Struthio camelus: one gene and its partners. Each later gene encodes a partner of the first gene's protein in a complex. Links are inferred from orthologs where the notes say so. Each region holds a gene or a part of one and is shown in the gene's direction. Other genes may lie near its edges. The genes, in order: TFDP2, LIN54, E2F6 and E2F4.

Region 1 (7,749 bases):
CTCTTCTGAGACTTGGTAGGGAGCCCTCCCCACTAAGCAAATCTTCAGTGAGTCAACCTGACTGTTCCTGTGGTTATGAGCTGAGATATCCAGAGCAGCTGTAGTAATGTGCTACTTAATGTACAGCAGATCTGGATCAAGTTCTGGCTAAAGCTCATCTTTCTTGAGATCTTCTCTCCTGAACATACTTAAATGAGAATCCTGACCTGAAGTCCGGAAAGGGGTCTCTTTGATCTGTAGTCATGCAGCAGACTGGTACCTATAGAAATTTCAAACTTTGCTTTTTGGACCATGAAAATGTGGTCATCCAGACTCCAAGGCTTATTAGCCTGTTGATAAGGGCCCCTCTGCTCCTCGTTCTGGTGTAAGGAAAGAACACGTGGAACACTCGTCTGCTTCTACCCCATGTCCAGCTTGTGATTTGCTTTGTCATCTCAGCCTCACTGCCAAGGAAAATACTCATTATTGGCAAGTAGGTTTTATTAAGCCAAACTGACCAGGGTTTGAGTCTGGCATTTTGAGCAGAAGCTTGCGGCCTCAATTTGCTGGTATTCTATGCTGTTATGACTGAAGGAGCTTAGTTTCATCAAGTCTACCTATCATCCGCTTAACGAAGGATCCTTGACTTTTTATCTTCGTTTCATAATTGTGTTTTTGCTGGGCTTGATTAGGGTTCCCCTGCCCTGCTCACAGCCGAAGATCTAATGGCTGATTAGATCTAAGATCTGAACAATTCTGAGTTACTGCCAGAGGAGCCAAGTGAACAACTCGCCACGAGCCTTGCTACTGGACCTTTTCACTGTGCTGGTGTTCGCCTTTGCCGTAGCACAGCTAGCAAGAGGGAAGACACTCAAGCCCTTAAACAGTTTTCTTTGTCTAGGTAGTGTTCTGGAGGACCTGTTCAGAATAATTCTTTACAGCTGTGACTGTTTAAATCTGAACCAAGACATTTAACCTGTTTTTCCTTTCACTAGCCTCAGATCTCTAAGGCAGAAACTTCACTGCAAAGTAAAGATGCAGAAGGACCCTGTTATGTTCACCCGCCAAACCTTTCAAATGATCTCTAAAGTTATTGTTTCCACTGTGGAGAGGTTGAAAGCACTGAGTACACCTCTGAAACAGATAACGGGGTGCTGTTAAGTCTGCCAAGATGGAGCTGCCTTTAGAGATAAGAGCATCTACCGTAGCTTGCGATGTGTAGCTACCCAAAGATTGAACAGACTAATAGACAGTACGTCTTGAAGAACTTTAATTACTGAAGAGTAAACGTCTTTTCTGTATCTGTTACAAGAAAAAATTGATTTTACCCTTTCAGGAAGTTTTTAGTATACTGATACTTTAATACCCTTTAATTGCTAATGAATGTGAAATAGGCTTTAAGCAATTAGATGTACTTTTACTGACCCTTTGCTGTCTCAATTTTTGTTAGTATTACTACATTAAAAGGCATTGAGACCATTGTGTAGGCTCATTAATATCAACTTTTATTTAAAATATGAGAGCTGTTACTTGTCCCTTTTAACTTAATTTTAGATTCTGCCTTGGAGGGTGGTTTTCATCAGTTTGGAAAGTGTATGCAGTTCTACATTTGCTAGCAGCCGAGTTTGATAGTGAAGATAATAATGCAAAAATGGTAAACATTACTAATTTGTACTGTAATATTTTAAGAGGTGCATCATATTTTGTCTGTCAATGTTCTGCTTGGGACTGGGTGGTAACGCACTTAAATTAGGCATGCGAAGATTGGGAATTCAATGGAGAGATGTGCTAATGATCTCTGGGCATTCTGCCTTCACAGGTTCACATGGTGTTGATGGATATAGATAAAATTGCCAAATTGGGGTGAAATTATCATGTGAGATTACGTGACATGAAAAATCTCTCAAATATCTGCAACTATTGGTTAATTATTGCATGTCAATAGGGCAGATGAAATAATCTTCTGATGGTATAAAATCATTTTGCGTTGAGTAGGTGTGGTGTAAGTTTTCTCATATAATTAAGAAAAGAATCAAATCAGCTAGTTTTAAAATCTCACTGGAAATAACTTTTCCAAGATTTTTTGAGTACTGTTTTCTTTTAGGCGGTGTTTTCTCCTACAACAGTTAATTTTATGCAAAACAAATGCGGTTGCTCTTAGGTGTTTTTGACAAGAGCATTTATACATGTTCTTTTCTCAAAAGAAAGTTTAAAGAATAAAAAGAAAAGAAAAATACCAAATTGCTTTTTCAGTCTGCTAGGCTCCTTTTGGTGTGGTCTGTGTAGCAAGATCCTTCAGCTAGTTCCACTGTATCCGAGATCAGAGAGCAGCCCAGTGGCTCACCATTTGACAGCAGCCTGTGAAAAAAGGTAAGAACTGTTTCTTGCCTGGAATATAGATTTTCTTGCTATTCCTGGTCCAAGCCAAAAATGAAGGACAAAGTCATCATTCTGTCTTCAAACTGTAGCACCCACCAACATGTCAGTCCTGCAGATTGTCACGAGTGTGGTAGTGCTCTGACTCAGCTGTGCAGCGTTTGAGTGAGCCTGAAGTTTTTATAGTGAGTTATAGCAAGTTCAGCAGGAGAAAAGTATGTGCATTTTTTGTTCGGACTGGCGTTCGTATAGGTCATTACAGCAAGAATTCGGGGCTAGCGAGAATGCGATGAAACTAGTGAAAATTGAAAGGTGATGCGTTGTGAAAGGGAGGGAAAACTCTGAACGGGATACGATGAGCTAGAGGGAGCAAGGCGGTATTTGGAGGCTGGGAGACCACTGACCGCTTCTGGGGGCAGATATCAGCACCTCCTGCCTCGCAGGCTTTGCTCTTAGAAAATCCATCCTTTGTTCAGTCTGTGCTGTCTCCCCAGCTGTCTTTTTTTAATATAAGAAACCAAATCCAGGATGTTTTGCAATGTGGTCCTCATTTTGGAATAAAGTTTGGAATTTAAGTTCTAATACATTATATACCACTATTTATTGTTACAGAAGTAACTGCGCTTACACTGTCTTTCAAACTGATCTTTGTTCCAGCAGCTTTGAACATGCACGTTATGTATACAGCCCTCTCATTCTGGACAGGTCACTGTTGAAAGCCTGTGCAAACTACAGCAGCGTGCTTTATTCTATTTCTCTCCTCCATAATAGTTCAAAGGTGTATTTTTCATATTCGTAATCAGTTACAGTATCCAACTTCATTTTATAGTTGTTTCTTGTAGCAGAACAGGAAACTAAAAAGAGCTTAACTGTCTTTACTGGGGCTGCGTTTCAAGTTCAGGTATTTGTTCAGCACAGGTAACTTACTGAACAGTGCGGTAAACCAGCTAACCTGGTTTACTTCTGTTTTGCTTCCTTTCTTTTCTAAGGCTGTGCCTGCCTTCTGCGCCTCTGTCAGGGCCTGTCTGAGTTGCCTTGCTGTTAACTGTTGTGATTAGAACTATTACAAGGGTCTTTGAGAGAAGACGCAATAGTTGGCATTTTTGTTTAGTGCTTTCATGAGGGTGTCTTGCATAAAACTACAAATATTGATAAAGATCTTGTTGCATATGACAGAAGTAGTTTATAGAGGATGAAGGGAAACTGAAAACACGTCGTCAGCAAAATATTGGACGCGCGCTCAGTCTTCTGTTGTGAATTGTCCCAGTGAAGTACACACACAGTTCTTGCTTGCCTGTTCCAATTATTTCCTTACTCTTTAGTTTAGGAACCCTAATTTACAAGCTGAACACCATTTGTTTGTTTGTTTTTAGGGGGATAGGATCAAACATATCTATCTTTTAGTATTGTCTGTAAAGGGAGAAAAACATGGATTTAGCAAATTTTCTGTTCTGTATGGCTTAGATATTTCTAAAACATGGAAATAATAGTGTTTCGGCACACAAATACTCCCTTCCCCCTCCCCCCCGGAGTAGCACTAGAGTGACTTTGTGTTATAGAATTAAAAAAAAAGAAAAACGAAGAGTTACTGCATACCTGGGACGCATGTCTAGCGCTCTGCTGGAGCTCTCGTTTCTTTCAGAAATGTCACGTCGTGGTTTTGAACGGAACTAGTCTAGGGTTGCTCCCCCCCCCCTTTTTTTTTAAAACTCCCAAGACACTTGTCTATTCTTTTTGTCTCTTTAGGAATACTTAATCCCGCTTTGTTGAAAGTAACTTTTGATGACGAGAGGGCAGCGGCAGGGTCCCGCAGGTACCGCTGGGCAGCGGGACGGCGGGGCCGGGGCGGGGGTCGCGCTCGGCCCGGGCGGCCTTTGTTTCACAGCGGGCAGGCCAGTGCCGCCCGTCCCGCCGCCCGCGCAGCGGCCGTCACCGCGCCGCCGGGCCCCGCCGCCCGCTCTGCCCCTACCGGGCTGCCCGGGGCGGGGCGGGGCGGGGCGGGGCGGGGTGGGGCGAGGGGGCGCGGCCCTGCCGCCGCCGCCGCCGCCGCGGGGCCGTCAGGGGACACGGCGGCCCCGGGCCTCGGCCCTCGGCCGGCTCCGCCCTTCCGCCCCGCCCCCTGCACCGCCGCGCCGGGGATTGGCGGGCGGCGTGTGTACACACAAGGGGCCGAGCCAATAGCGCGCGGCGGGCGCCCGAGCTCACGCGGTGCGGCGGCCAATGGGAGCGCCCGGCTGCCAGACGCCGCCAAGCTTGTGCGGGGGAGAAGGACCCGGGCAGAGCACGGCGCGGCGGCGAGCGGGGCCGGGCGCGGGGGGAGGTGGCGGCGGCGGCGGCCGAGCTGCAGTCGACGCCACCCGCCGGGGCTGGCGCACCGGCCCGGGCGGGCTCCCGTCTGCGGGGCCTCCTCGCTGGCGGCGGGTGCGCGGCGCCGGCCCGGCCGAGAGGCGTCTTCTCCGCGCGGGGCCGGGCGGAGCGGCTGGCTCCCCGCCTCGCCGTCTGGTAAGGGACCGTCGCTGTCTCGTCGCCGCGGCGCCGATGCCTAGGCCGGGCCTGCGCCGCCGCCGCGCTCCTCCTTCCTTTCCCCCCCCCCTCCCGCGGGGGCGCAGCGGCGGCGCCTCCCCCGCCCCCCCCCCCCGGCGCCCCGCGGCGTTTAACGGCTGCGCCCGCGCCCCCCCCCCCCCGCGCGGCGGCTGGCGGCTCGGGCGCGCGGGGGAGGCGGCGGCGGCGCCTGCCGCGCCCGGCGGGGAGTCGAGCCGGTGCCTGGCACCTGCGGGCGGCGGCGGGTGACAGCCGCCCTGCGCGCCGCGGGAGCGGGCGGAGCGCTACGCTGCGGGCCGGGCCGGACTGGGCTGGGCCGCCGCGGCGGGGGCGGGGGGCGCTGCCTCGGCGGCGGGGGCCCCCCCCCCACCCCCCGGTAGCCGGAGCTCAGCCAGCGGCTCGTGGCCCGGCGAGCCCTGCGTTCAGCCTCGCGTGGTTGCGCTGACTGCCGGATTCTCTCGGGGGAGGGTTGGTGGTTTGAAAAACAATAACAGCGTGAACTAAATAGACGCCTCTTCCCGTGCCCTCTGAGTTGCAGGCCTCCTCTGACTTTTCAGCCGAAACGGGTTTAAAGATGGAGAGGAGTCCGAATGTAAACGCAGCCTTTCGGGTTTAGGAATACAGATCGTAAAGGCATGGCACAACAATAGCAGGAAAGCATAGAATAAGTAAACTTCCTTGAGATGTGGAAGAAAAAAAACACATCTGGGAACTTGCTTCCCCATGGAGCAGAGAGATAGTGCTGAACTATGTGTGAGAGCTCGGACGGTTTCTTCATATGCTGCCTTCTTCTGTAGAAAGGACTCTGGTTTTCATTTTCTCTGTCGTTTTTTATGATAGTTAAGCTGATATAATTTAACAGATGTGCTGTATAATAATGAAAAATGATTATATGCAATTATTTTAATGAAACTGCGTTAATACTTTTAACAGTTGATGAGTCTTTTTCAGTGCTATCCCTTACATAGTTTAGCGTTGCTGATAGAAAAAAGTCAACAAACTATATGTTATGTGATGTTATTTTAATTACTTGCCACTTGATGTAATCTTTGATTAAAAAACAACTGTATGCTGCTATGAACTGATGCTACTAAAAGAGAAATGAATGAATTATTTTCCAGCGCTCTGCCCTCCCCAGGTTAAATCTGAATCATTTGATTAGGATATATTTTGTTTTCTACAGAAAACATCATTTTATGCATGGACAACGTCTCATAAAGGAAGATCAGTGTTGTAATACATATGCAGAACTCTATTTAGCAGCTTAGGTTTGTGCCAGTGTCATGTATGCGCAAAACCATTGTGCATAGTCAAGTCCTGAATTTCAGTAGCTTCTGTTCAAAATAGCATCTAGTATGCTAAATATAGCGCTTTGAAAGAGCATGGAGAAGTTCATGCTATAGAAAAGCCTTGACAAGAGAAGTAGTCACAAAAGAAAAAAAGTACAGATATCTCTTCTTTGAAAACTTTTTTGTTGTGAAGAGAGTCAAGTGCTTCTACTAGAGGTAAGAATAATAGAGCGAATAATTTAGTGTTATACTGAGGAAAAAATGGAAAATGACTAAATATTAGCAAGATTATCTCATATGGGTTGAATTTAAGAGCAATCTTATTTTACTGTCAAATTCATTGGGCTTTCTTTTAACCACTTCCTGTTTGCACAGAAATCACTGTTTTTGCACAGAGGAGAAAAAAGAAACTATTTAACTATTAGTTTGCTGATGTAGTTAGCTTTATAGAAAACATGCATCACTGATAGGCGTGCTCTTCATTGCCGCAAAAAGTTCTGATTGTTGTTCTCGCTCTACAAAATGATAAGGTATAGTTTTCAATACGTCTTGAGCCCAGCTGCCTGGTATAGAAGGGGTAGGCCAAACAACTTAGTTGGGCAAAAGGCATAGTGCTGTTTTGCAAGAGATCTGATGCTACATGAGAAGTCTTTGCTTCTGCTTTTGTGTACGTTGGACTCTATTGTAGGGGCCTCTTGTGCATCTGGACGCACTTGCTGGACAGTTGTGCGCCGCTTCAAAATGAAGAAAAGGCCTTGCCTTTCAGCATCTTTCTGTGGGTTTGGCTAAAAGTGCTGTTACAGGACTAGCCAAAAAAAGGAACCAAATTTCCAACTTTCCATCCCCTTCTAGAGTGTATATCGTTAACTGATTTAAGGGAGCAGACCACTTCATTGTACCTAGAAGAGTTTGGTGCAATTCTCTAAAAGCAAAGGGCAATTAGTGACCTGATATGGTTAGGGAAGGGAAGCTGAGGCCCATGCTGCGTAAATACTAATATTTACGCCCGTGGGTCCTAATTTGAATCAGAATGGGTTCTTTAGTTATAGCTAATCTAATTCAGTTCTTGGAGTTGATTTCCTTGATATGCTACCTTAAAATAGCATTCTTAGCCCTGTCTTTATTCTGCTATGTTTTCTTAAATTGCCTTTTCTGCATGCTTTTTTGGTATAACGATTAAGGATTTCTCACCCACCTTTCTGACTATATTCATAGAACGTGACTACTACTAGTGAAACAATAGTGAATTTTAAAATAGAGTGAGTTGATTATCCTTTTTCTGATCTAGTGCAAGAAAATAAACTTATGGAGTTTCCGGGTGCAAAGCCAATCTGAATCAATCAGACAAGTTTATCATAAAATTTAAGATATTCAGTGGAAAACAATCCTTAGTGGAATAATAGTACATATATTAAATCAAAGTTCATATATAAGATGCCTATTGAGGGATCTCAAGAACTAGGTGTATGCTAGGTAGTACTGTAAAAAGGTGGAGGTGCAGTGGGGAGTGGCAGTGTTATAACTGAACTTCCTATTTTGATTCTTTGTATACATCTTCTTGACA
Region 2 (7,324 bases), on another chromosome or scaffold:
GTGAGATACGAACGGCATGAACTAATCCAAAAACTTCTAATTTGTAGTGCAGCTGTCTGCAGGCAAAGTAGCAGTGCTAGAATCTGGGTTTTATAAGCAGAAGTGTGGTTAAAAGAAGTAGCCATGTGATGCCTTGAATTTAATTTCTGCATAATCACTATAACATGCAGGGAAACATATTCAGTTAAGCTTTAGAGTGAAAGCTGCTTAAAAAGACAAAAGGTCAACATGCAAATACAAATCATGACAGCAACTGCGTGGTTTTTGTCCTAATATTAGATGCAGTAAGATGTTTATATAAGCATCTTCAGTAACCACTCTCAGCAAATACTGAGGTACTTGTACAAGAAAACCAAGGACAGACTTGAAAAAAGAACTGCAACGTATTCAGCAGTTTACTGTAGAGGTGGGATTTCTAGGAAACTATTTTTTCTGGTACAACATTTCTGGGCTTAAAGAGTTTTAAATGTGGGTTGTTTTTTTTTTTTAAATGTTAAGTAGCAACAGAAGCTACTTGGTAAAATACTTCTCTTTTCAATCACTTGCCCATGCCATTAGTTGGGTAATATGTAAAATAATCAGTACCAGTCTGTATCTTGACAGCTTTTCCAGTAGCTCAAGTATTGTCTCATTGTAAGAAGCCATTTTCTGGTAGTGGAGGAATTACATGCCTCGCATCCTGATTAAGAAACAAAGACTGTATTCTTTGCACAGTCCCATATCCTCACAGCATTTGGCAAAAGTTTTGCTCGCACAAGAATGCCAAATTGGACTTTAAGTAGGAACATCTGTTTTGAACAACAAATTTGAAGACTAACAATATTTAGCAGTTACACCGCAAAGCCAAGCCTGTAAACCAGAAATGCTTTTCACTGATGTCTTACCTGCTCCTCAAATGAAATGACCCTAGGCTGTATCTTTTCCAGGGTGAAGTGGTATATTTCTTTGGCTGTGCTGTCAGGAAGACTTGGAAGATGGGTACAGAAATCTGTCAGTAACTGACGTGAGATCACTAAACTGACGTTTTCATTCACCACTGGTTCAAAGACACATGGAAGAAGAATATAAGATGGAAGAAACGCATGTCAGCACTTTCACTGTAAGTGGTCTATAGCCATTCAATCACTTGCTTTAATATTAAATTTGAGCTTCTTCAACTTTTAAATCTAAATTTAAATTATGGGCTGCCCCCGCCCAAAGATGACTTTCCTTCTCTCACAAACCGATGCTATCTGTTTACACTAGAGATTGCCAGAGATTAGAACTGAGGTGAATAGCAGTGTCTTTCTTGCTCTGATTTATCGCCTAGGAAGATGTTTCATTCTGAATCGCTGTTCTCAGCTGCTAAAACGTTTCAGACAAAGTAAACATTTAGTCTAAGTTTCACTAAGCTTACTCTAAAATTCTAAATCGGATATAGCAGATATAACTTCTTTAAGTACTCAATAAGCCAAACAACTAATACAACACCAAAAAGAAATCAAACCATTTCTTCTTGGCAATCTTCCCCATTAACCTGAAACTGGAAGGAGAGAAGAGTTGTTTCTTTAAAGACAGCTTTCTATCCACTATCCATTTTACCAGTCAACAAAGACTAGTTTACATTTGTACACAGTGCTTAGGTCTACCTTCAGACACTGTAATACTAATAGGTTTGAAAGTTCCATTAACTCAGAAAACTTACAAGTCTGAATATGCTGATGTTTGGTGCCTCTTCTAGTCATGTTTAAGTTCTAATATGACTAGAATATTATACATTTATTTAGCCTCATGCAGAGCTAACAAATACGCAATCCCACAGGTTCAGACCTTCATTTAGTCAGTGTGTGAACAGTCATACCAGACACACTTACTTGCTTCTACAAAAGCTTTCAAAGCTTCAAGTTGCTCGACGCCTGATAGCTGAATGGCTTTTTCCAATATTTGACGATATCTGCCCACAGATTAAAAAAGAAAAAGTCATATTTCATATTTTTTTTAAATTAAGTATTCCTGTTTCTGTGCTTATTTTCTTCCTTAGAGTGCTTTTTCTATTTACATTTGCTGTGTTTTCGAGGTGCGTGTTTGCCCAAGTGTTTATGCTAAAATTCCAGGAACGTTCGCCTGGAACTGGTATCTGTGTCTTTTTAAAGTTCCAGGACTAGTTTCCACCGTAACATAGTTACAAATCTGTTAGTATATCTGCAATGAAAAATGCCTTTTAAGAAAATCAAAACCCCAACCTATTCCTGGGATAGTGCTTTTCTGTCTTGCCATAAAGAGAAAGCACAGGAAACGTAAAGAACGTTATATCCCTCGCATATTAAAATCAGTAACTGGTGACAGAAGTGCAAAAATGGCAGATTCAGGGGGAACAAGAAGCAGTGGTGGGTGAGAGATGGAAGTAAACAGTATACTATAGACACTTGATGGTATCATAGGCAGGGAATATACCCTATTTTTATAAAGTATTTATTATTGAAATGTTTAAATATTAACAAATCATACTCACTGCAGCTTTCATGTAGTAGTTGTATAAGGCCGGTGCAACTCTTACTGGGCCATAATCTTAACATGTACAACATTGAAAGGAGTTACATTCATGTTGAAGCTGCATTTTCAGGGGAACGTTTCAGGAATTTTTAAATATGAAGTGCCTAGATCTGAGGCAATTCCTCTAGAAAATAAGGAATTGGACTGGTAATGAAGGAATTTCAAGTGAATTGAAAGAAAGAAACTAGGTAATATACTGCACAGTGATTAAGTCAAATCCCACATCTCATATCCAAAATACCTTACTTAAATTTAAATTTTCATTGTTGACTTTTTTAGTAAAAACACATTGGAGGAGTTCTGCACGCATATGAAGCAATTGTGGGAAAGAAAATCCCCACGGTCTATCACTTTTGCTCAGTTTTCGGACAGATAGCTGAAATCGGACAGGCACCCAGAATGGGGTGGGGTGTAGGAGTTACAGTGAAGCGGTAAGGCCCAGCACAACTGCCAAGGGGCCTGCGCTAGGACAGTGAGAGCACAGAGGCACTTTTCATTGAAAACAATAATAAAGACAAGCAGGAAAAAGAGGACGAATCATATTATTTCAAGAGCTGACCCAGAAGCACCCTACCGTCAGGGCGAAGAGCTATGCCTGCTGGCCCGGAGGCCGGGAGCCCGCGCAGCCTTCGACTTGCAGGCGACAGCAGCCCCTCCGGCGACCCCGGATGGCGCTGGCGGCGAGGACATCGCGCCCCGCTTCCCCTCCCCTCAACGGTCCCGCGGACTCGCCTCAGCAACGGTCGCGCGACTCCTTCCCTCCCTCCCCCACGGCCGCGCGGACCCTCCTCAGCAACGGTCGCGCGGCTCCTTCCCCCTCACCAACGGTCGCGCGGACCCTCCTCAGCAACGGTCGCGCGGCTCCTTCCCCCTCACCCCAACAGCCGCGCGGTCTCTCCTCAGCAACGGTCGCGCGGCTCCTTCCCCCCCACCCCAACAGCCGCGCGGACTCCCCTCAGCAACGGTCGCGCGGCTCCTTCCCCCCCCACCCCAACAGCCGCGCGGACTCCCCTCAGCAACGGTCGCGGGGCTCCTTCCCCCCCACCCCAACAGCCGCGCGGACTCTTCAGCAACGGTCGCGGGGCTCCTTCCCCCCCCACCCCAACAGCCGCGCGGACTCCCCTCATGAACGGTCGCGGGGCTCCTTCCCCCCCCACCCCAACAGCCGCGCGGTCTCTCCTCAGCAACGGTCGCGGGGCTCCTTCCCCCCCCACCCCAACAGCCGCGCGGACTCTCTTCAGCAACGGTCGCGCGACTCCTTCCCCCCCCCCTCCCCAACGGCCACGCGGACTCTCCTCAGCAACGGTCGCGCGACTCCTTCCCCCCCCCAACAGCCCACTGTCGCGCGGACCCTCCTCAGCAACGGTCCCACGACCTCCCCCCCTCCCCAACGGCCACGCGGACTCTCCTCATCAACGGTCGTCCGGCTCTTTCCCTGCCCCCCCCCCCACCAACGGCCGCGCGGACTCTCCTCAGCAACGGCCGCGCGGCCCCATCCCCTCTCCCCCCCAAAACGGCCGCGCGGCCCCAGCCGTTGCCCCCAGTCGCCGCTTCCCCGCCAAGGGAAGGAGGACGCCGGCACTCACTTGCCCGCCAGGTCCTTGTGGGAGCCACTGGAGTTCATCAGCTGCGCCAGGTCCTGCTTCACCGCGGCCGCCATCTTCGCTGCGGCGCCGATCAGGCCCTGCGGCGGCGGCCGCGCCTCCTCCTACCATAGAGCAGCCGCGGGAGGGAAGGCTAGAGAGGCGCCGCCGCTTCTGCCCCCCCCGCCGGGTGGCGCGCCGCGGTCACGTGGCGCGGGCGGGCGGGCGCCGCCGCCGGCCTGTCACGGCGGCACTGCCTGCCCGGCGCGTAAAAAACACGCCCTGTACCGAGCGGGGCAAAACACCGGGCGGCCCGGCCGGCTGTGATGGCGGCGGGGGAAGGCGGCCGCAACCGCGGCGCTCCGCATCTCCCGAAAAACGCACGAACTCATTTATAGACGCAGTACGGCCGCACCCAGCCGCATATAACATACAGAAATGCATATGTGCGCGCGTGCCGGGGGGGAGGCGGGGGTGGGGCCCGCGCCCCGCCGGCGGCGCGCGCGGGCCCCGCCCCGGAAGCAGGGCGAGCCGTGGGAGCGAACGAGACCGAGGGTGGTGGCGGTGGGGAGGGGGAAGAGGAGGCGGGAGTGTGAGGGAGCCGGAAGCGCGGGGCGGGGCGGCGTGGCGCGCGCAGGGCGCTGCGCCGGCGGTTGCCAGGGCGGCGCTGCGCAGTATTATGGGATGCGGCGGTGGAATGGCGCGGGGCGCGTGATTTTGAACAAACACGGCGGCTGGTGGCGGGCGCTGCTGCCGCCGCCGCCGCCTCCGCTCCTGCCGCCGCCGGGCGCGGTAGCGCGGGAGCGCGGCGGCGGCGCGGGGAGGCGGGGGAGGAAGAGCGGCAGCCCGGTGAGTGCTAGCGCGAGGGGCGGGAAAGCGGCGGCGGCGGCGGGGGGAGGCGGCGCGCACCGGGCCCTGCACGGTGCCGGGGGGCTGGAGGAGGCCACGGCCGGGAGGAGACACCCGGTCTCCCGGCCGCGGCGGTGCCTCGGCGCTGACAGCGGCGTCCCGGCCGCCGCCCGCCGAGAGGGCGCAGGCCCGGCCCCGCCGGCGCTCGCTCCCCGCGGCGGGGCGGGCTCCGTCTGCTTGTGGGGGCTCCTCGGGGTGGGGGGGCACTGGGTCGCCCCTCCGCCCCCGCTGCCCGGTAGCTGTCTTGGGGGGGCTCCGCGGCCCGCTGATGAGCGCGGGCTGCCCCGCTTTGGCGTCTGCAGCTGCCCGTGTCCCTCGGCGGAGGCCAGAAGCGGGAGACAGCAGGGCAGAGCCGTCATCTGTGCTGCTTCGGGCTGTCGCCCGGGAGGAAGTAACTCCGCAGCCTGCGTTGGCTTTGCATTTCCTCGGAGCGCACCGCAGGCCGGCCGCGGAGGGAAATACGGATGGAGCGACTAAAGGATGGTGTTGGGGTGGGGGAGGAAACGATGGGCTAAACGTGCCTCTCCTCGGAAGCCGAGCGAGATGCGCGCTGCCCTAACGAGCGTCCTTTGCCTTGCGGCTTCCCGAAAGAAGCCGCAGCGCAAGCGGTAGCGGAGCGACGGGATTCAAGGTGAAGCAGCGACGCCAGAGCAGCCGCTGCCGCTCCGCGCCGGTGCCTCGGGGGGGGGGGCGGGGGGCGGGCGAGCGGCGGGGGGCGGGCGGCGGGGCCGCGGCGCCGGGCGGCGGCGATGACGAGGTGAAAATGGCGGATCTTTCGAAATACGGTCGCGGCCGCTGACGGAGCGGCGGCGGCGGCTCCCGCCCGCCCCGCTGAGGTGAGGCCCCGGCGGCCGCGCGCGCGCGCCCGGGGGGTGGGGGTGGGGGGCGGGAGGGGGCCGGGGCCTAACGGTCGCCGGCGGCCGTTGGCGGGGCCGGGCCGTTCCAACGGTCGCGGCGGCGGCTTCCCTCCCCCGCCCCCCCCCCCCGGCCTCCCCTTTTTTTCCCCCGGCCGCCGGCTCTGGTTGTCGCCAAATGTGGCGGGTGTCGAGGGGAGGGGGGATCCCCGCCCCGCTGCCGGGGCCGCGCCGGGGGGTCGGCACGGCCTCGGTCCTGCTGCCCAGGCGTGTCGGGGGAGGCGGGGGGGTGTTTGGGGATGACGGGAAGCACCCGGAAGGGTGAGGGGTCCTCGGCGCCCGATGGTCGGGCAGGTGTCGCCAGGATGGCGCGTGGCGGTCCCCTCGCTCCGGCGCCGGGCGGCCTGCTCCGTAAGTTGCTCGCGTCAGGAGGCAGGACAAACTGGTGGGTGAATTAGGCCCTCGGACTCTCTCATCCCGTTACTCCTTGACAACACGTAACCAGCTCAGGTTTGGGTCGCTGGCGAAGGACTGGCTGGCCTCTCCTGCAACTCCGTGTCTGTGGTGGACTTTGCCCTCCGTGAGGGCAGGTTGTCTTTGTGTTTGGAGATGCTCGGCTTGGGAGCCACAGTTGGTCGTTCAAAACAGGTTGTGGTAACAAGTGCCCGCGGTATTGTCCGTAGTTCCTCTACCGGCTGAAGTGTGAAGGTGTACCTGTACTTTCCGTCCAAAAGGACGCATGGAAACGGAGAATCCGGTGGTTTGCAGTGAATTAGCTGGACTGTCTTGCCAAGTAGTCTGAGCTTCTCACTTCATCGTTTTTGCTTCTCGTTCGTTATGGTGTATATTGCTGGTCAGAATGTGTTGTTAATTATTGGTGGCCTTTACTTTTCTGCACATCGTGTACTAATTATGTAACTTCTGATATGGCAGCTTTGAGTTCTGGAAAGCATTGAGTGTTCAGAGCGTGTGAACTTGTCGACCTCTAGAACATAACGTGAACGCGAGAAAAGCTGTCAGAAGATGTTAACTAAAGATAAAACAGGTATTTGAATGACCTTCCATAGGTTCATCCTTCTAAACGGTTGCCTGAAACACATTAGAATTGTTATAGGAAATAGTACATATAGAAAAATAATACTGAATGTTCTTTACCAAGTTTACATAAAGTTAGTTAAAATAAGCAAGTCCTAATATACCTGGCTGGTTCATTCAGAATAGCTTTTTGGCTTAGTGGGTTATCGCCTGAGAGTATTTGGTCTTTCAGAGAAATCTTTCCTCAGAGTAAAATGCCTTACATATGTCCTTTTATTCCCTAAAACATCCAATTTACATGTGTACTACCGAGTAATAGGTGTTGGTTTTGTATCATGTACATACTTACATTTAACCAATAGAAAGAGATATGCCTGTATTGTCCATAGGCAAAGCACTGCTAAAGGTTAA
Region 3 (7,932 bases), on another chromosome or scaffold:
GAACACTCAAAAGTTCTCCACAGTATTTCTCTCAGCTTTTTGTAATGAAGGAATTGAAAATCTCCACTCCTCTTTGGTATCAGAGAGCCTTCTACCTCAATTCTTCTCATCTAGGTTTATCAATTCTTCTTTCATGCTCAATGCCTGAAGCAGGCCAGGAGTTCTGAAGCACTCCTTCAATAACAAATACAATAAAGCCCACTTGCAACAGAAGACTTCTGTTTATAAACTGCTTAGCATGAAAATCACAGAATCACACAGAATCACAGAATGCTTGAGGTTGGAAGGGACCTCCGGAGATCATCTAGTCCAACCGCCCTGCTCAAGCAGCGTCCTCTAGAGCATATTGCCCAGGATCACATCCAGGCAGGTTTTGAATATCTCCAGCGAAGGAGACTCCGCAACTCTCTGGGCAACCTGGCCAGTGCTCACTCACCCGCACAGGAAAGAACTTTTTCCTCACGTTCAGATGGAACTTCCTGTGCTTCAGTTTCTGCCCATTGCCTCTTGTCCCATTGCTGGGCACCACGGAGAAGAGTCTGGCCCCATCCTCTCGACACCCTCCCTTCAGATACTCATACACATTGATGAGATGTCCTCTCGGTCTTCTCTTCCCCAGGCTGAACAGGCCCAGCTCTCGCAGCCTTTCTTCAGAGGAGAGATGCTCCAGTCCCCTAGTCATCTTTGCAGCCCTCCGCTGGACTCTCTCGAGTAGTGCCATGTCTCTCTTGTACTGGGGGGCCCAGAACTGGACACAGTACTCCAGACGAGGCCTCACCAGGGCTGAGCAGAGGGGCAGGATCACCTCCCTCGACCTGCTGGCAACACTTTGCCTAATGCAGCCCAGGATACCTCCAGCAAGTTCTGGTTAAGACCTCTGCCTAGAAACTCTCAGGTTCTTCCAGATGGGAGATGGCTTGCAGCCAAGTTTCAAAACCCTACTAAACACACAACATTCACTGAACCTTTTTAATAACATACAACAGTGTTCATATGCGGCAAGCACTTGCTCTTTCCTTAACCCTAATGACCTCCTCAGGGTACTTTTTCCATCTATTTAATTTCTTATCTGGGTTACAGGTACAAAAAGTAGACGGCTTAGGTTAATAGCATGTCCTAAAAAGGTTTATCTTGCCACAGATACCTATATCTATGTCTATGACATACCATGTCACAGATATCTATGCCTTTTAATTTTATTTCAGGTGTACAATGCAGGACATCACAAAAAAAAAAAAAGAATGCTGCTTAGCGCTGCTCTGTAAAAGATTTGATGCAATTTTCCCCATACTCATCTGACAAATGAAAGAAATTGACTTGATTTCTTAAATTAATGGGTGAGTATTCACCATCTATGCAGAAGCAATTTTTCTACCCAGATTAAGATAAGCAAATAATGTTTCACATCTTTATGCCTAATCATTATGCAGTGGTGAAGACCTTTAATAGGATTTCAGGAAGGCTAAGAAGCTTACATAAACAGGCATAATAATATACCAAAATATACATTTTAAACAAATACTTACAGCCATTTCTGTTTTCCATGATTTTTCAGTTTTGCGTCTTTGCAGGAAAATATTTCCCTGCTCATCTTTGCAACAGTACATACGAACCTCCTGGAAGATTCACTTACAAGTTTATTATCACTAAATAGAAGACTGTATTTAATACAGGATCTCTCTTAAGTGTGTATAGTTTCTTACAGAATAAGGCCTTGGTTTTAATTGTAGTATTGTACAAATTCTATACATATAAATAAAATAAATACATACTAAATGAGGATATAAACATATCTGTCAGGTGATATTTAGGATTATGCATACAGGCTAATAAATACTAACATGAAACTAGTGTAATAAACAATAAAAGACTAATGGGAAAGCAATGACATTCAAAACAAATTTTAAATCATTAGAGTGGGAATATAAAATATACAAAAAATTCCATTTTGTATGAAACCTAAACCATGCAGCACAAGCTTCACCATTAAAAATTTTATATAAAACAATCTAATTTCAGCTGCTCAAAATGGAAGTACAACACTTGCAGGAGAAGCACATATAAAATAGAACATTCATTTTATTAACCTCAATGGAATTAAATTACAGTAGTGAATTTTTTTAAGCAAATCATATTTTAACTTTTATATATAGCACTTTACAAATTTAGTGGAACCACTGTTCTAATATATACTAATTTTAACAAATCAGACTTAGGAAATGGAATTACCGCCCCCTGGTGGCAGATCAAAAATCAATTCAAAGTGGTAAACAACTTCAAACTGACAACCAAGCAAATCTTTCACTTTAAGAATCGTGTCCAGTACGGTTAATGCCTGGAAATATCACAAAAAGCTAAAGAGCTATTTTCGTATGCAATAAGATAACAGTAAGTGGAGTATAATTTACATTTTCATATGCTAGTGCATTAACCAAAGAATTAATGTGGAAGAGATTTCATTATCAGTTTTATTAAAAATAAATAGTAATGCACTAGAATTAAACCCTTTGATCAACAAAATGCCATAGCTGAAATTCCTGACAGTTCAGTTTCTTCAAAACCTAATTTTCATTTAAAATAAGAATCAGAATTTACACTTTTCACGTGAATGTCAAAAAATTTTCCTGAATCTGAATCAGTGTAGGACTTTTCTTTGCTCAGTTACTTATTTCCACAAGCCCATTGATAGAGGCACAGGAACAACAGAATTTTATCTTATGAGCAGCTAGAAAAACAGTACAGTGTTCTTTTCTAAAAGATGTAAATGTTGACACAATGTTTTTCACATGGGTTAAAATGGAAATGCATGTGTCCTAATCCTCAAATTATAGTACTTAGTCTTCCTCCCAGAGTCTGTCTATCCAATAATCATCAAAATTATACGTAAAGATTTTTATGCTACATGGCACATCCATTACGTAACCCCAAAATAAAGTGGTTCAAGACATCTATTCCAAACCATTTTGCTGTTCCAGATGGAAAAAATTGCTTTATCACAGTGGGTTTATACGACCTGTGACAATAAATGTAACATATGTCTTCCAGTCAAGAATACAAAGAGGGAGACATTTTGATTCCTTGTGGGAATATAGATTTATCACCTTGAAGTAGTCAGCAAGAATTATCATGTTCATAAAAAATGAATATGAATCAGGAATGTCATGCAAGTGTTTTATCTCACCGTGATGTGTTGTTGCTTCCATGGAGAACCTTTTGCATTTGCATTAGTCCCAGCTCTCCTGAGAATACAAACAAGCACCATCCGCATCTTCAGATCTACAACTCAAGTCTTCATGTCTCCTGATACACAAAAATCATAGTTTTGAGGAGTTAAAACATACTTTTTTTTCCTGTTTTTTTTTTTTGTTATAAACTGATTAGAACATGAGAACAACATACCTCAGTTCTGTATGTCTCTACAGGGACAATTATTGTTACGCAAATCATCGACTAGAAATCAGTTGCTACACAGAAAATCCCATCCTGTATCAAGAGATCTGATGTATCATCAGTGGCGCCAAATGCTACTCCAAAGGAATATCTAACCTGCAAGGATAAGAAACAGCTAGTAAATGGAAATGGATTCAATATTTTGTCAAGATAATAGAATGTTAGTTGACCTATCCCATCAGATGCATTGGAAAATGAATCAAGTCCTTCATGCCTTAGACTTCCTCATAGTAGACTAGCAGTTTCACAAAACGTCCAGTGAAATTCACATTTCTACAGAGCACCTGCTTTGAGGGTGTGGAAGGTGGGGGGGACTTTAATTTTCACCAAAAGTTGTAGAGCAGGGAAGCAAAATAATTCAGAATGTTTTCACGTAAAAGAACTCTATGACAGAGCATCTATTGTACCATATGGTAGAGGCCGTTAACTGGCATAAACAGCAATCAATCAACACACGGTTTAACGGACAAAAAGAGTTACATGTTTTACAGAAATGTTTTCATCTGACAAACAGGAGCTAGCTACTAAGCGATGCAGACAAATGAGCAAGGAAACAGTCAGTGCCTGACAAAGGATATCAGAAGTATGGAAGGAAGCACGGAAACTGCCAGTGAATTGGGTATTTGGGAAAAGATTTGAGAACTCCTGTTGAGAGGGAAACGTGCAGGCTTAGTTGAGGCAGCTGCATTTGTTGGCTCCTCTCTGGCCCTTGAGGAACGTACTCAGCTCTTCCCCCACTAACGACTTGTAATTAGTGATTCTCAGTAGGGTCATGGGATCCTGATCTCCTATGGCCGCCTGCTCCTGGCCGGTCAGGACAGGAATGCATTATTTGGCAAGAAGCAATAGTAATTATTTCCACTTGTCTTCAAAGGTGCCTGGGCAGGGCACTTTCTCCTGGCTTACATTGCACATGGAGGGAACGCAAGGATCCTGCTTTCAAATAACTGAGGTAGTGAAAACTCCTGTTTTAATCCACTTTAGACCACTGGGGTGGTGAAGGGAGTTCTCCTTGCCACCCACAGCCCACTGGAAAGACACGGGGGGAGGCGGGAGAGCAAATCTTTTTTTTAATACTGCTTCGGGGTGGGGAAAGGGGGCAACAGCGCAGGGAGCACCAATCTGGGCGATACTCGAAGAAGCCTCCTTCCCCTCGGCGCTCAGAGGAGACATCTCCCCGGCGCTCCCGCAGGCGTGAGCCAGGCAATCGCCGCCGAGCTGAGAGAGAAAGGCGCCGGCGGCGGCCACCCTCCCCCCACCGCGACCAACGGCCGTTGAGGCCCCGGCGGGCGGGAAAGGCGGCGTGGGCGGGGCCGCTGCGGGACCTCGCCGCAGAGGCTCGTGGGTAAGGGAAGTCGTCGCTCGCCGCCCTTTTGGCGGTGGGGGGGAGGGAGGTTTGTCGTCGTCACCTGTCGCGCGCCGCGCTCGCGCCCGTCTCCGCTGAGCGGGCTGAGGCGGCGCGCGCGGGCCGAGGTGGGGTGGGGAGGGGGGGGCAGCCGAGCGCGCGCGCGCGCGCGGCCGCCGGGGCCCTCTCTCCCGCCCAACGGTCCGCTGGCGGCGGTGGGGGAGGGGAGGTGCGGCCGTAACGGGCTGCGGCGAGGCCGGGAGGTCCCTCTACCACCCCTCTGTCCCCTCCTCCCTGAGGCGGGGTGGGGATGGCGGCGCCTTCTTCCGACATGGACTCGCAGCCGCCTCGCCGAGGCCCCTGAGCGCCCTCCCACCGCCGCCTGCCCGCCGGGCGGGAGAGGCCTGCCTCAGCGCTAGGCCGCGGCCGGCCTGAGGAAGGAGGAGGGGCCGGACGAACATGGCCACCCCCGCCAAGTGGGAGCGTCTGAGGCCGCTGCAGCCGGACACGCTGCGTGTGAGTGAGGGACACGGCGGGCGGGCGGGGAAGGGAGGTACTGCCGGCGGATGGGGCTAGGGCGGGACGGCCCTGCAACGCTGTGCTCCCGCCACTGAGCGATTTAAGGCGATCCGGGAAAGTCTTTCCTCTCACCTGTCTGGCAAGATATCCCTGAGCGGGGAAGATGTGGTGTGCCTGGCCTGAGAAGTACACAGAAGCATAGTGATGCTTCCCTCCCTCATGGCTTTTTAGCAGGCTGCCTGGGAGAGGAGGCTGTCATAACGTTAGTGAGTGCAAAGCAATGTCTTTCCTAGCTGCGCTAACTATAACCTGTTAGTCGAGTTAACTAGGTTGTAGATGTGTTTGAAAAATCAGTTGCAGGGTGGTGCTTTATTTTACTCTTATATGAACGTCTGTGAAGTTCAGGTAATCTACTTTTCTGTGGTATCTGGCATTACTTTTAGTAATGTTACGAGGTAGCTAATTAAAAATAGGTTTACTTTTAATTCTGTGTCACTTTCTTTAAGAAATGCTTGGTTTTATTAACTTCAGCTATTGGGCTAAATGTTATTTGGTAGCATTGCCTTCCTGCTATGAAAAGGTTTCCCTGAATTTTTTCCATCAGTAGTTGAAAATTTCTTACTACTAGAGATGGTGATTTTTAGAGACAAAGGGTGTAGGGCACAACATAATGCCGCGTGATGGATCAGCCAACCAGAGGTGCTGTCTTGAATCTGCCTCTCATCAACAAGGAAGTCAAGAGTGTGGTAACCATTAGCAGCCTTGACTGCAGGGGCCACTGAATAGTGGCGTTCAAGATGCTAAGTGTAGTGAGGACGACAAGTAGCTGAGCGCGGATGCTGGACTTCAGGAAAGCAGACTCCAGCTTATTCAGGGAACTGGTAACTGAGATTTTTTTTTGGAAGGTGACTTTGTAGGGTAGAGGAGCTCAAGACCTGGGAGTTCTGGTAAGCACACCTTCACTCAAGCATGGGAATGTATCCAGGAATGTACCATCCAGATACACAGGAAAACAAGATGTGTGGAGGCATGGCTATGCCTGAGCTTGGGGTAGGGGGATCTGCAGGTGGTGGAAGTGAAGTCAAGCTACAGAGGAGAATTGTCTGGACATGTAGGCATGATGTAAGGAAAGCTGTAGCTCGGTTAGTGTTGAAACTGCCAACGGATGTCAAGGGTGACAAAGAACTTTTACCTTAGCAGTAAAAGAATAAACAGGAAAACGTGGATCTGCTGTTGAATGGGGCAAGTGATTTAGGGACAGCAGACACAGATGAGGTTGAAGTACTCGGCCTTCTTGTTTGGGTCTTCAGAAGCGAGGTTCTGTAGGCTCTTGTATCTAAGGATAGGGCTCAAGGAGAAGAGGAACTACCAGTAGTGGCAAAGTATCAAGTCTGGGATTTCTTGAGAAATCTCAGCCCCTACAAGTCTCAACAGGACCTGACGGGATGCTTCCAGAGGGATCTGAGAGAGCTGACTGATATCATTGTGAGGCTGATCTCTGTCATTTTCAAGAGGTTGTGGAGATCAGGTGCAGGTTGGTCAGCCACACTTCAGTCTCTCAAAAACCATGGAGCGAGTTCTCTTGGAAGGCATTTCTTAGGAACGTGAAGGAGAAGGTGGTGACTGGGATTAGCCAGCATGACTATTCTTGCATGACCAAACTGATTATCTTTTTTGATGAAATGACTAGCTCTGTAGATGCAAAGTATTGGATATCATCTGCATTGACTTTAGCAGCACTTTTGAAATAGTATCCCACAGCATCCTTGTCTTCAAGCTGGAAAGTTACAGATGGTCAGCTGCATCTATCCTGTATCTTTATGGGTGATCTGTAGGAGGGCGTGGGATGTGCTCTTGCCAAGTTTATGGATGACACCAAATGAGAAGGGGAAAGTGCCATAGACCCCTAGGCACAAACTGGAGGAATGGTTCAACAGGAGCCTTATGGAATTTCATAAGGAAGTTGACAATTCAATTCAGACTAGAAATCCGGCCACCTGACCCTATAGCCCCCAGTGGTACACACTGGGAATTGAGTGGCTGGGGAACAGCTCTCCTGAAAGGACCTAGGCATCCTCGTGGACAGTAAGCTAAATGTGAGCCAGCAGTATGCCTGGTAGTGATGAAGCCCTGTGGGACTGTAGCAGCAGGAGCATAGCTAACAAATCAGAAGAAGTGATTATTTTTCACAGAATCACAGAATGGTTGAGGTTGTGAGGTTGTGAGGTTGTGTCTTCTTTATCTGGCGCTTGTTAAAGTACTCTTGGATTACTCTGTCACACTTTAAGAACTCTAGTACAGAAAGGATGTTGATAAACTTGAGTGCTACCAGCAGAGATCCACCAAAAGCGGTCTGGAGATTAGTGTACATGAGCTATGAGGGAAGCTGAAGGAGCTGGGCTTTTTAAGCCATAGCAGTGTTCCAGTACTTACTAGGAGGTTATTGAGAAGATGGAGCCAGGCAGTTAACAGTAGTCCATGATGGAAGGATGAAGGAACCTCTCTCGCCTCTCTTCTTTCATTTCATGCCTTTTTTCCAACTTGATATAAGGAGAAATGTTTCACTATGAAGAGACACAAGCAGTGGAAGAAGTTGCCCGGAGAGGTGCAGCCTCTAT
Region 4 (7,132 bases), on another chromosome or scaffold:
AACCTGCTCTAACTTTGCCACCAAAGAGCAAAGGGGCTCTCCCTGCATGAAGCCAGAGTTGCACTTGAGCACTCCCAAGTGCCTTTCAGCCAAAACCCCCAAGGACTGGGTGAATACCTTACCTGAGAATAGCTGGGGCAGGACCTTTACCACTGAGGCCAGTTGCACATGCTCCGCCATCAGTGCCCGCATCTGCTGCAAGACCTGGAAGTGGTCAGCACTGTCGAGCAGGGCCCACCGTGCAGCCCCCAAGTCCTGGCACACACTCTGCACCTCCTCGGCCGCTGACCGCAGCTGCTGCAGCCCTGCGTTCACTCCCTCCAGGTAGGACTGGACAGTCGACTGGGGAGCAGAAGAGGATGAAGGAGCAATGGGGAAGCTCTCAAAGGATGGGGGACTCGCACACCCTTTGTTCCAGCCCTGCCAGGCCTCTGCAGCACGTGGTCTGCACTCCGACAAGGTTGCATCTGCCTCTCTCATTATGCTGCCACATCTCCCACATCTCCCACAATGTCCCTATCCCACAGCTCCTGCTCTCCCCATGTACACCCAGCCCCAAGAAACCCGCTCCAGCAACAGGAATGGCCCATTTCACCCTTTTGCTCCAGTGACAGGAATGGCCCAGATGTCTGCTTTCAGCTTTAAAATAATACTAAAATATTTGCAGGACACAGGTCCCCACTGCGCCCCCGAGACAGATTAATGGCACGAAACACCTCAGTGGCCACACAAACGTTCCTCCAAAATGGATTTCCATCTTTTCAGCCCTCCAGTGGCACTGGTACGTCTCCATGCTCTCTCCGCCCCTTTCACCTCTGGCTTCTGATATGAAGAAGCATTTTTACCCAGCATTGACAGAAACAGGTTTTCTCTGAAGCCACATTACTTAAAATTAGTCCTCTCCTGGACAATTTCCCCACAACTAGGGCAGGATAAACCATCTCCGAAATCAGGATAGCCAGGACAAGGTCCAAGGTGCTCAGACCACTCACGTCCTGAGGTCAGTGTTTCTTGAGGTCATATAAAAAAGGATCATAGAGTCACCCTGACCAGGTAGGCATGCACAGTGACCAGTTAAATCCCTTATCTCTGTGTAAAAATACTGTTTCTCCTGTGCGGATTTGCAGGCAGGGATGGGGCAGGCTGGAGCTCTTCACCTCCTCCCAGCCATAGAGAAAGGGAGCCCTTGGTGCTGGGATAGGGAAGCAACAGGGAGCACTGGTTTCTGCACATGGGATGCATTGGATATCCTTGGTATTTTGCTTCTAATTACAGAGAGAGATGCAGGAATCCCATTTTAGCACTTTAACCACACTGCAACCAAGAGGGTTAGGGCAGGAGGGGGTTCTCCTGGCTCTTTCCCCCCCCAACAACAGCATTTCTCCCATCAAAAGCCAGCACAAAGACAAGATTGTTCCAGAAGTGCAAAAAAAGTGATTTGATGCAGAAGACCAGACCCTGGCTGGGATCCCTGCATGGGAAGAGAGTCAAGCTGTGTGTGCTCATCAGGTGGGATGTGGCAAACACCCACCTTCAGCCGGGACTGGATGGAGCTGTTCCTCTGTGTTTCCCGGCTCCGGTACTGCCCAAGCCCTTCTAGTTTCTCGGGGCAGTAGAACACCCCTGAAGCCCATTTCAGAGCAGCTCCTCTTGCTAACTTCTCAGCCTTCTCCACTTCTGGCCATTCCTCATCTGGGGGTGAAGCCGGGGTTAATGAGTGAAATGTGCCTCTCCTTGTGGGGCAGGAAGGGCCCCCAGGGCCAGAGGCAGGAAACCGGCCACAAGCGGATGTTCTAGCACACACAGATGTGGGAAGCCAGACAAGGCAGCAGCAAGCAGGCCCTTCCGGGAGGGCCCCAAGAGGGATCCCAGTGACACAGGTCGGAGGCCATGCAGCAGTCATGGCAGAGGACTACCCCAAAGAGCTGCCAACTGCCCTGTCAGCTCAGGCTGTCACCAAAGTTGGGAGTGTGTCCCCTTGTTGGCCGGTGGGGGAGGGATCTCACACCACCTGGGAAGGCCTTGGCAGGGCTGAGTCCTCAGCAATGAGTCAGCAGAAGGAATGGAGGGGCGACAGCTTGCACAGTCTCTCTGCATGAAGGAGTCCCCAGAGGGGTTGATTTAGAGGGCCCTGGGGCCACCCTTGCCTGGGCAGCTCCACTACTGAAGGCAGAGTCAGACTGAGGTGAGGCCAGGAGGCTCCTGGACTTTTCAGTCTCCCACAGGCACTGGCTGCAGCTGTGTGGGGCCAGCCATTGTGTCCTGCCTTGGCCCTGGTACAGGGTATGAAGACATGCCAGTGGCCATCTTTCCAGGACTGGGGCTGAGAGTTGGCACAATTATCACATGCTCACCCCCATCCCCAGCACCTGGATTCATTGTTTTCTCCCTTCTCCAGAAGCTCTCCCAGCTTGGGACCCTCCATAGCCCCACAGGGACATCACCTAGCCCCGAGCTAGGGTCCCATGCTCCTGATGAGCCTGTCTGCACTGGGCCCGTGGACTTCAGGGGAAAGCAGCAGGTTTGGGGAAGAGCTGTGCGGCGGGTAGCACTGTCCCCAGTAAGTGCTAAAAAGATGGGCAGCTCATCAGGAAGGAGGGGAGATCACCCTGCGCAGCAAGGGATGATCCCAGCCTGCTGTGGTTATCACTGCCAGGAAGCAGGGCTGGGCTTCCACCCACCCAAAGGCAGAAGGCATTGTGCCTGGCATGGGGAAAAGGTCCATCAGATGGTTGGGCAGAGGCTGGGGGAGCACAGGCATCACTGAGAGCCCCTAGCCCTGGAGATGCACTGCCAGTAATTGTATCCCTCCCCTGCCCAGGATGCCAGCTCCGTGGGGGACCGCGCTGTCCCCATTACCTTTGGGGCTCACGGTGTGCTCATCCTCCGCAGACATGCCCATCGTCTCAGTGCTGCGTGCAAGCTCCAGGGTGCAGGGCTGGGCTGTGCGGAGGAAGCCGGCAGCCGTTTCCTCAGCGAGTGCATGCACACTCCTCAGGGGCTCATTGTGTTCTCGCAGACACACTCAGGATGTCAGGAACTGGGGGGAGCGGGGGAAGGCACTGTAGTCACTGCAGGTCGCAGGCTTTGCAAATAGAAATCATGTCCTGTGTGCCCTTCCCATCCCAACCCCCCCTCTTCCCCTCCCCCTCCCCCCCCCCCCCAGTTTGGTTCATCCTGGGCATGCAGCCAACATAGACCCAGTGCCTGCCTTGTGGGGTGGTCTCAATCACAGCTGGATGTTGCAGTGCAGGGCTGCAAAGCAGCTCGTGTGGCTCAAGGAGGGTAGTGAGGTGTCCCTAATCGGTATTGGCTGCCCAGGGGTGCCTGCCTGGGCAGTGTGAGCTGGGTTTGTGTGTTCATTGCACTTTCTGTATCTGTAGCAGGAGCCCACCAGAAGGTGGCACGGTCAGAGATCTCACTCTGCCCAGGTGAGGCTGCTGCCCTACACATCTCTGGAAACAAAACTACCAACGAACGGTTGCCTGGATGAATGCAGCCTGAGAGGACTTTCAGGGTGCAGGGGGGAAGAGGGTCAAACCTCAGCAAATCCGAGGTACGACTTGAAGGCAGGGTATACAGCAGGGACACCCAGTTCATAATCTACCGTGATGACCAAACTAAACGTAGCAGGTACCTCAAAAAAGGCTCCCAAAACACCAAAGCTGCCATGAAGTTTGAGGAAAGGTCTAATACCTGGGAGCAAACCAGAGACCACTGCGTTGCTGCTGTATAAACGCGACACCGAGTTTCCCCGAGGCTCCAAGAGTTGTTACCCCAGCGGCACAAAGTCCAGCTGGCGGCCAGACACTTGTGGTGTCCCTCAGCGATCGGTCCTGGGGCCAATGGCCGTTCAACGTCTTTATTAGCGAACCTGGCTGAGGGGACAAAGGCGGAGGGGTGCAGGGCGCGCCTCTGCGACGTCCGTGTCCGAGGCCAGCCTTCCCCGCTAGTCGGCAGCAGCCGCCCCGGCACCCAGCGCGCACCCCACCCATCCTCGCCCACCCCGGCCCCACCTCGCGCACATGCGCATGCGCGCTGCCCCGCCTGGCGCCCCCACCGCCCCCACCCCTCAGGCCACCCCGGAGCGGAAGTTCCCGTCATGCCCCGCGGCCCGGAAGCGGAAGCACGGCGCGGCCGGAGCCGGCGGCGGCGGCGGTGGCGGGCAGATGGCGGAGTGCGGGCCGCAGCCCCCCGGGGGTGGGAGCGGGGCTGCGGGGGCGCCGAGCCGGCACGAGAAGAGCCTGGGGCTGCTGACCACCAAGTTCGTGTCGCTGCTGCAGGAGGCCAAGGACGGCGTGCTGGACCTCAAGCTGGTGCGGGGCTACCGGCGGGTGGTGAGGGCTCTCCCGCCCCGCCGCACTGGGGCCAGCATCAAGGGGAGCTCCGCCGGTGTTGGGAGTCGGGAGCCGGCGCAGCTGGGGAGCTGAGGAGTTCTGCTGGAACTCCTGCGGGCACGGCTGAGCTAAGCGCCGGCAAGCACAGAGGTGGCTGGTCCTCCGGGGAGTGAAGCAGGTTTTGTGGGGGAGAGCGTAGGTGGAAATGGCGATCTCTAGTGGAGCAGGTCTAGGGAGGTGAGGCCTCCTCATCAGGCAGATAAAGAGCTCAGCCTAGGAGAGAAGTCCCCGGGAAGAGCTGGGGATGTGGCAGAGCTACCAGACTGCACATAGAACATGCAGAAGTGGCCGGGTACTTACCATCACAGTGTAGATATTCCCTCCTGCAGCTTCCTTCCAAATAGTTCTCATCACTCAGCGTTTGTATTTCTATTTGAACTGTGTTGGGCTATCTTCTTCTCTTCCACGTTCTTGGCCAGGCTTTGGAAGGCCAGGTGCAGGTGCTGTTCAGTCCAACATGCCTTCTGCCTCATGTTTGCTCTGTCACATGGTGCCCCAATCTCCCAAAGCTGCTACTTGAACACAGACGTTGTAATGATAGATCCCTGTAATGCCTCATCGGAGAGCTGCAGAAATGGAGAAACTTGCTCCTTACTGCATTTTGGCCTTCTAACATACAGCAGGAAGGAGAGTGAAATCAGATTCATCTCTGCCGGGACTGTGCCCTGATGCCTTTATGTTATGGACAAGTGTTCTGCAAGTGCACCTTGCTCATGCATTTTCAAGATCTTCACCTAGAGAAAGGAACTCTCTTAATGAAATATGCAATACTTATATCTAGGCCTCCTCTGCATATGAAGTTCTTTCAGTGTGGTTTATACCAATCTCTTATGTGGCTATGTGTGTGAGTTCACTCTGACAACCCCTGCATAGGCTCCAGGCAGGTGTGGGAAAGCCCTAAAAATGGAGGGTCGGGAGGAGTCTTCTGGTTGTAGACTACAGTCCTCTGCTATGGCAAATTGTTAGCTCTTTGGATTTTGTCAGAAGAGCAATATTTTCTTGCTCAAAATATACATTAACTAGGATTCATATTTGTCAGTGTGATTTGAGCAGTAGTGCTGTGCAGGGTCTCTAATGCCCTGGTCCATTACCGTGAAGATGTGTGAGAGAGGAAAGTCATTTCTGTGCTGACCATCTGTGTCTGACTGGCTGTGCAATGCCATCTGTAGTATTCTAGCATGCCAGCACAGTGCCAGCTAAACACCTAGTGCTGCTAAATTGCCCTATGAAAGTGGAAACGAAAGGCTCAACATTGTCTGGAGTATCCAGCAAGCTGAAGAGAACTGTAGTAGTGGAACCCTTGGGGCAAAACAGCAGCGAGCAAGGCAGGGAAGCACGAGGGTTGCTCAGGAGCTGCGTCCTTATAACTGTACTTATTCTTCCCCCAGTGGAGACTCTTTCATATAAAGAAATCTGCCTTTTGAGAAGGTGTTGATTCTCTCTATCAAATGGCATGAGATGTAGATAGAAAAGACCTTTTAAACATCCACTTTACTGAACAGTGGTCAACTGTATAGGCATCTCTCTACCTTCTCCTGTCCGTTCTCATCTGTCTTACACTGAACAAGCACTGAATTTTTAGGCTGCCAGACTAGTGTCTTCTAGCACAGCTTTATTGTTGAGGAACAATGATTTTTGCACCAGCCCTGAATGAGGTGGCTGGAATTAGATTTGTGGTTAATGGGAAGGTCTGTGGGTAAGAAAAAGAACAAAGGGGCAGTGACTAATTCTGATTGTTGTAACGATGTTAAGAACATGGCTTTGTAGTTTGAGGCGCTGGGGCAAGAGAGGCATGAGGTGGGGAGCAAGGGGTGGCTGAGAGTTTGGAGTTAAGTTTTCAACTTTTCTGCAGGCTGCAGATACCCTAGCGGTGCGGCAGAAACGACGAATATACGATATCACAAATGTCCTGGAAGGCATTGGACTGATCGAGAAGAAATCGAAGAACAGTATCCAATGGAAGTGAGTGACAGAGAAGACTAAATTGTTCATAGATCCCTTTTAGTCCAAGGTCCTATCTCACAGCTGTCTTTTCCCCATGCAGGATAGCAGGGCTTCATGTGGTTGTTGTTTAAACATTGTGGTTAAAATGCCCTGCTCAGGGAAAGCTTCCTCAGTGGTCTATGCATGCTTGTGCTTCCCCGAGCTGAGCTGTGCTGTTGCTAGTAATGAGGAAAGCTGAAGTACATGTGGCATGTCCCTTTTCTAATGGAGCTGTTATCTGAGCACAGATGAAGTATTTGTAGTGCCTTGGATTAGAAAAAATGCCTGCTGTGGCACTGGGGTGGGAGAGTCCTGTTAGCCGGTGGGATGTAGGAGGATGTGCTAAATGTTGCTATGCTAGGAAGGGTGTAGGACAGGTACAGGTAAGGCTTTCTGGGAGATCTGAGCTTGGCATATGGTAGAGATGGCAGCAAGAGAAATGTTGGAGTTGGTTTGGATGGCTCAAGACGCTGATGCATGTTATTCCTTTTTACATTGCACAGAGGAGTTGGTTTGGATGGCTCAAGACGCTGATGCATGTTATTCCTTTTTCACATTGCACAGAGGGGTGGGTCCTGGCTGCAACACACGTGAAATAGCTCACAAACTCATTGAGCTGAAGGCAGACATAGAAGACTTGGAGCAGCGGGAACAGGAGCTGGAGCAGCAGAAGATGTGGGTCCAACAGAGCATCAAAAATGTTACAGAAGACGTGCAGAACAGTCGATATCCTTTGTGTGAACTGATTACTC

What was found.
Region 2: TFDP2 (region 1) and LIN54 share a complex: the UniProt entries of both Homo sapiens proteins name them as parts of the DREAM complex. The link is inferred for Struthio camelus from reciprocal best matches to the Homo sapiens genes TFDP2 and LIN54.
Region 3: TFDP2 (region 1) and E2F6 share a complex: the UniProt entries of both Homo sapiens proteins name them as parts of the DRTF1/E2F transcription factor complex. The link is inferred for Struthio camelus from reciprocal best matches to the Homo sapiens genes TFDP2 and E2F6.
Region 4: TFDP2 (region 1) and E2F4 share a complex: the UniProt entries of both Homo sapiens proteins name them as parts of the DRTF1/E2F transcription factor complex. The link is inferred for Struthio camelus from reciprocal best matches to the Homo sapiens genes TFDP2 and E2F4.

What each region holds. Positions count from the first base shown.
Region 1 is NC_090950.1:15,383,303-15,391,051, reverse strand, and holds the start of TFDP2 (transcription factor Dp-2), read left to right. Parts: upstream 1-4,742; 5' UTR 4,743-4,857; intron 4,858-7,749. UniProt on the Homo sapiens protein: Can stimulate E2F-dependent transcription.
Region 2 is NC_090945.1:10,330,180-10,337,503, reverse strand, and holds the start of LIN54 (protein lin-54 homolog), read left to right. Parts: upstream 1-4,323; 5' UTR 4,324-4,518; intron 4,519-4,739; exon of another isoform or gene 4,740-4,964; intron 4,965-5,324; exon of another isoform or gene 5,325-5,655; intron 5,656-5,748; exon of another isoform or gene 5,749-5,860; intron 5,861-6,290; exon of another isoform or gene 6,291-6,811; 5' UTR 6,812-6,901; coding exon 6,902-6,923; intron 6,924-7,324. Other genes in the region: COPS4 (COP9 signalosome complex subunit 4), read right to left, coding at 885-1,036, 1,854-1,933, 4,119-4,192. UniProt on the Homo sapiens protein: Component of the DREAM complex, a multiprotein complex that can both act as a transcription activator or repressor depending on the context. In G0 phase, the complex binds to more than 800 promoters and is required for repression of E2F target genes.
Region 3 is NC_090944.1:23,562,475-23,570,406, forward strand, and holds the start of E2F6 (transcription factor E2F6), read left to right. Parts: upstream 1-4,927; 5' UTR 4,928-5,254; coding exon 5,255-5,311; intron 5,312-7,932. UniProt on the Homo sapiens protein: Inhibitor of E2F-dependent transcription. Binds DNA cooperatively with DP proteins through the E2 recognition site, 5'-TTTC[CG]CGC-3'. Has a preference for the 5'-TTTCCCGC-3' E2F recognition site.
Region 4 is NC_090951.1:24,434,281-24,441,412, forward strand, and holds the start of E2F4 (transcription factor E2F4), read left to right. Parts: upstream 1-4,120; 5' UTR 4,121-4,169; coding exon 4,170-4,337; intron 4,338-6,249; coding exon 6,250-6,359; intron 6,360-6,944; coding exon 6,945-7,106; intron 7,107-7,132. Other genes in the region: EXOC3L1 (exocyst complex component 3-like protein), read right to left, coding at 123-342, 1,532-1,692, 2,860-2,902. UniProt on the Homo sapiens protein: Transcription activator that binds DNA cooperatively with DP proteins through the E2 recognition site, 5'-TTTC[CG]CGC-3' found in the promoter region of a number of genes whose products are involved in cell cycle regulation or in DNA replication.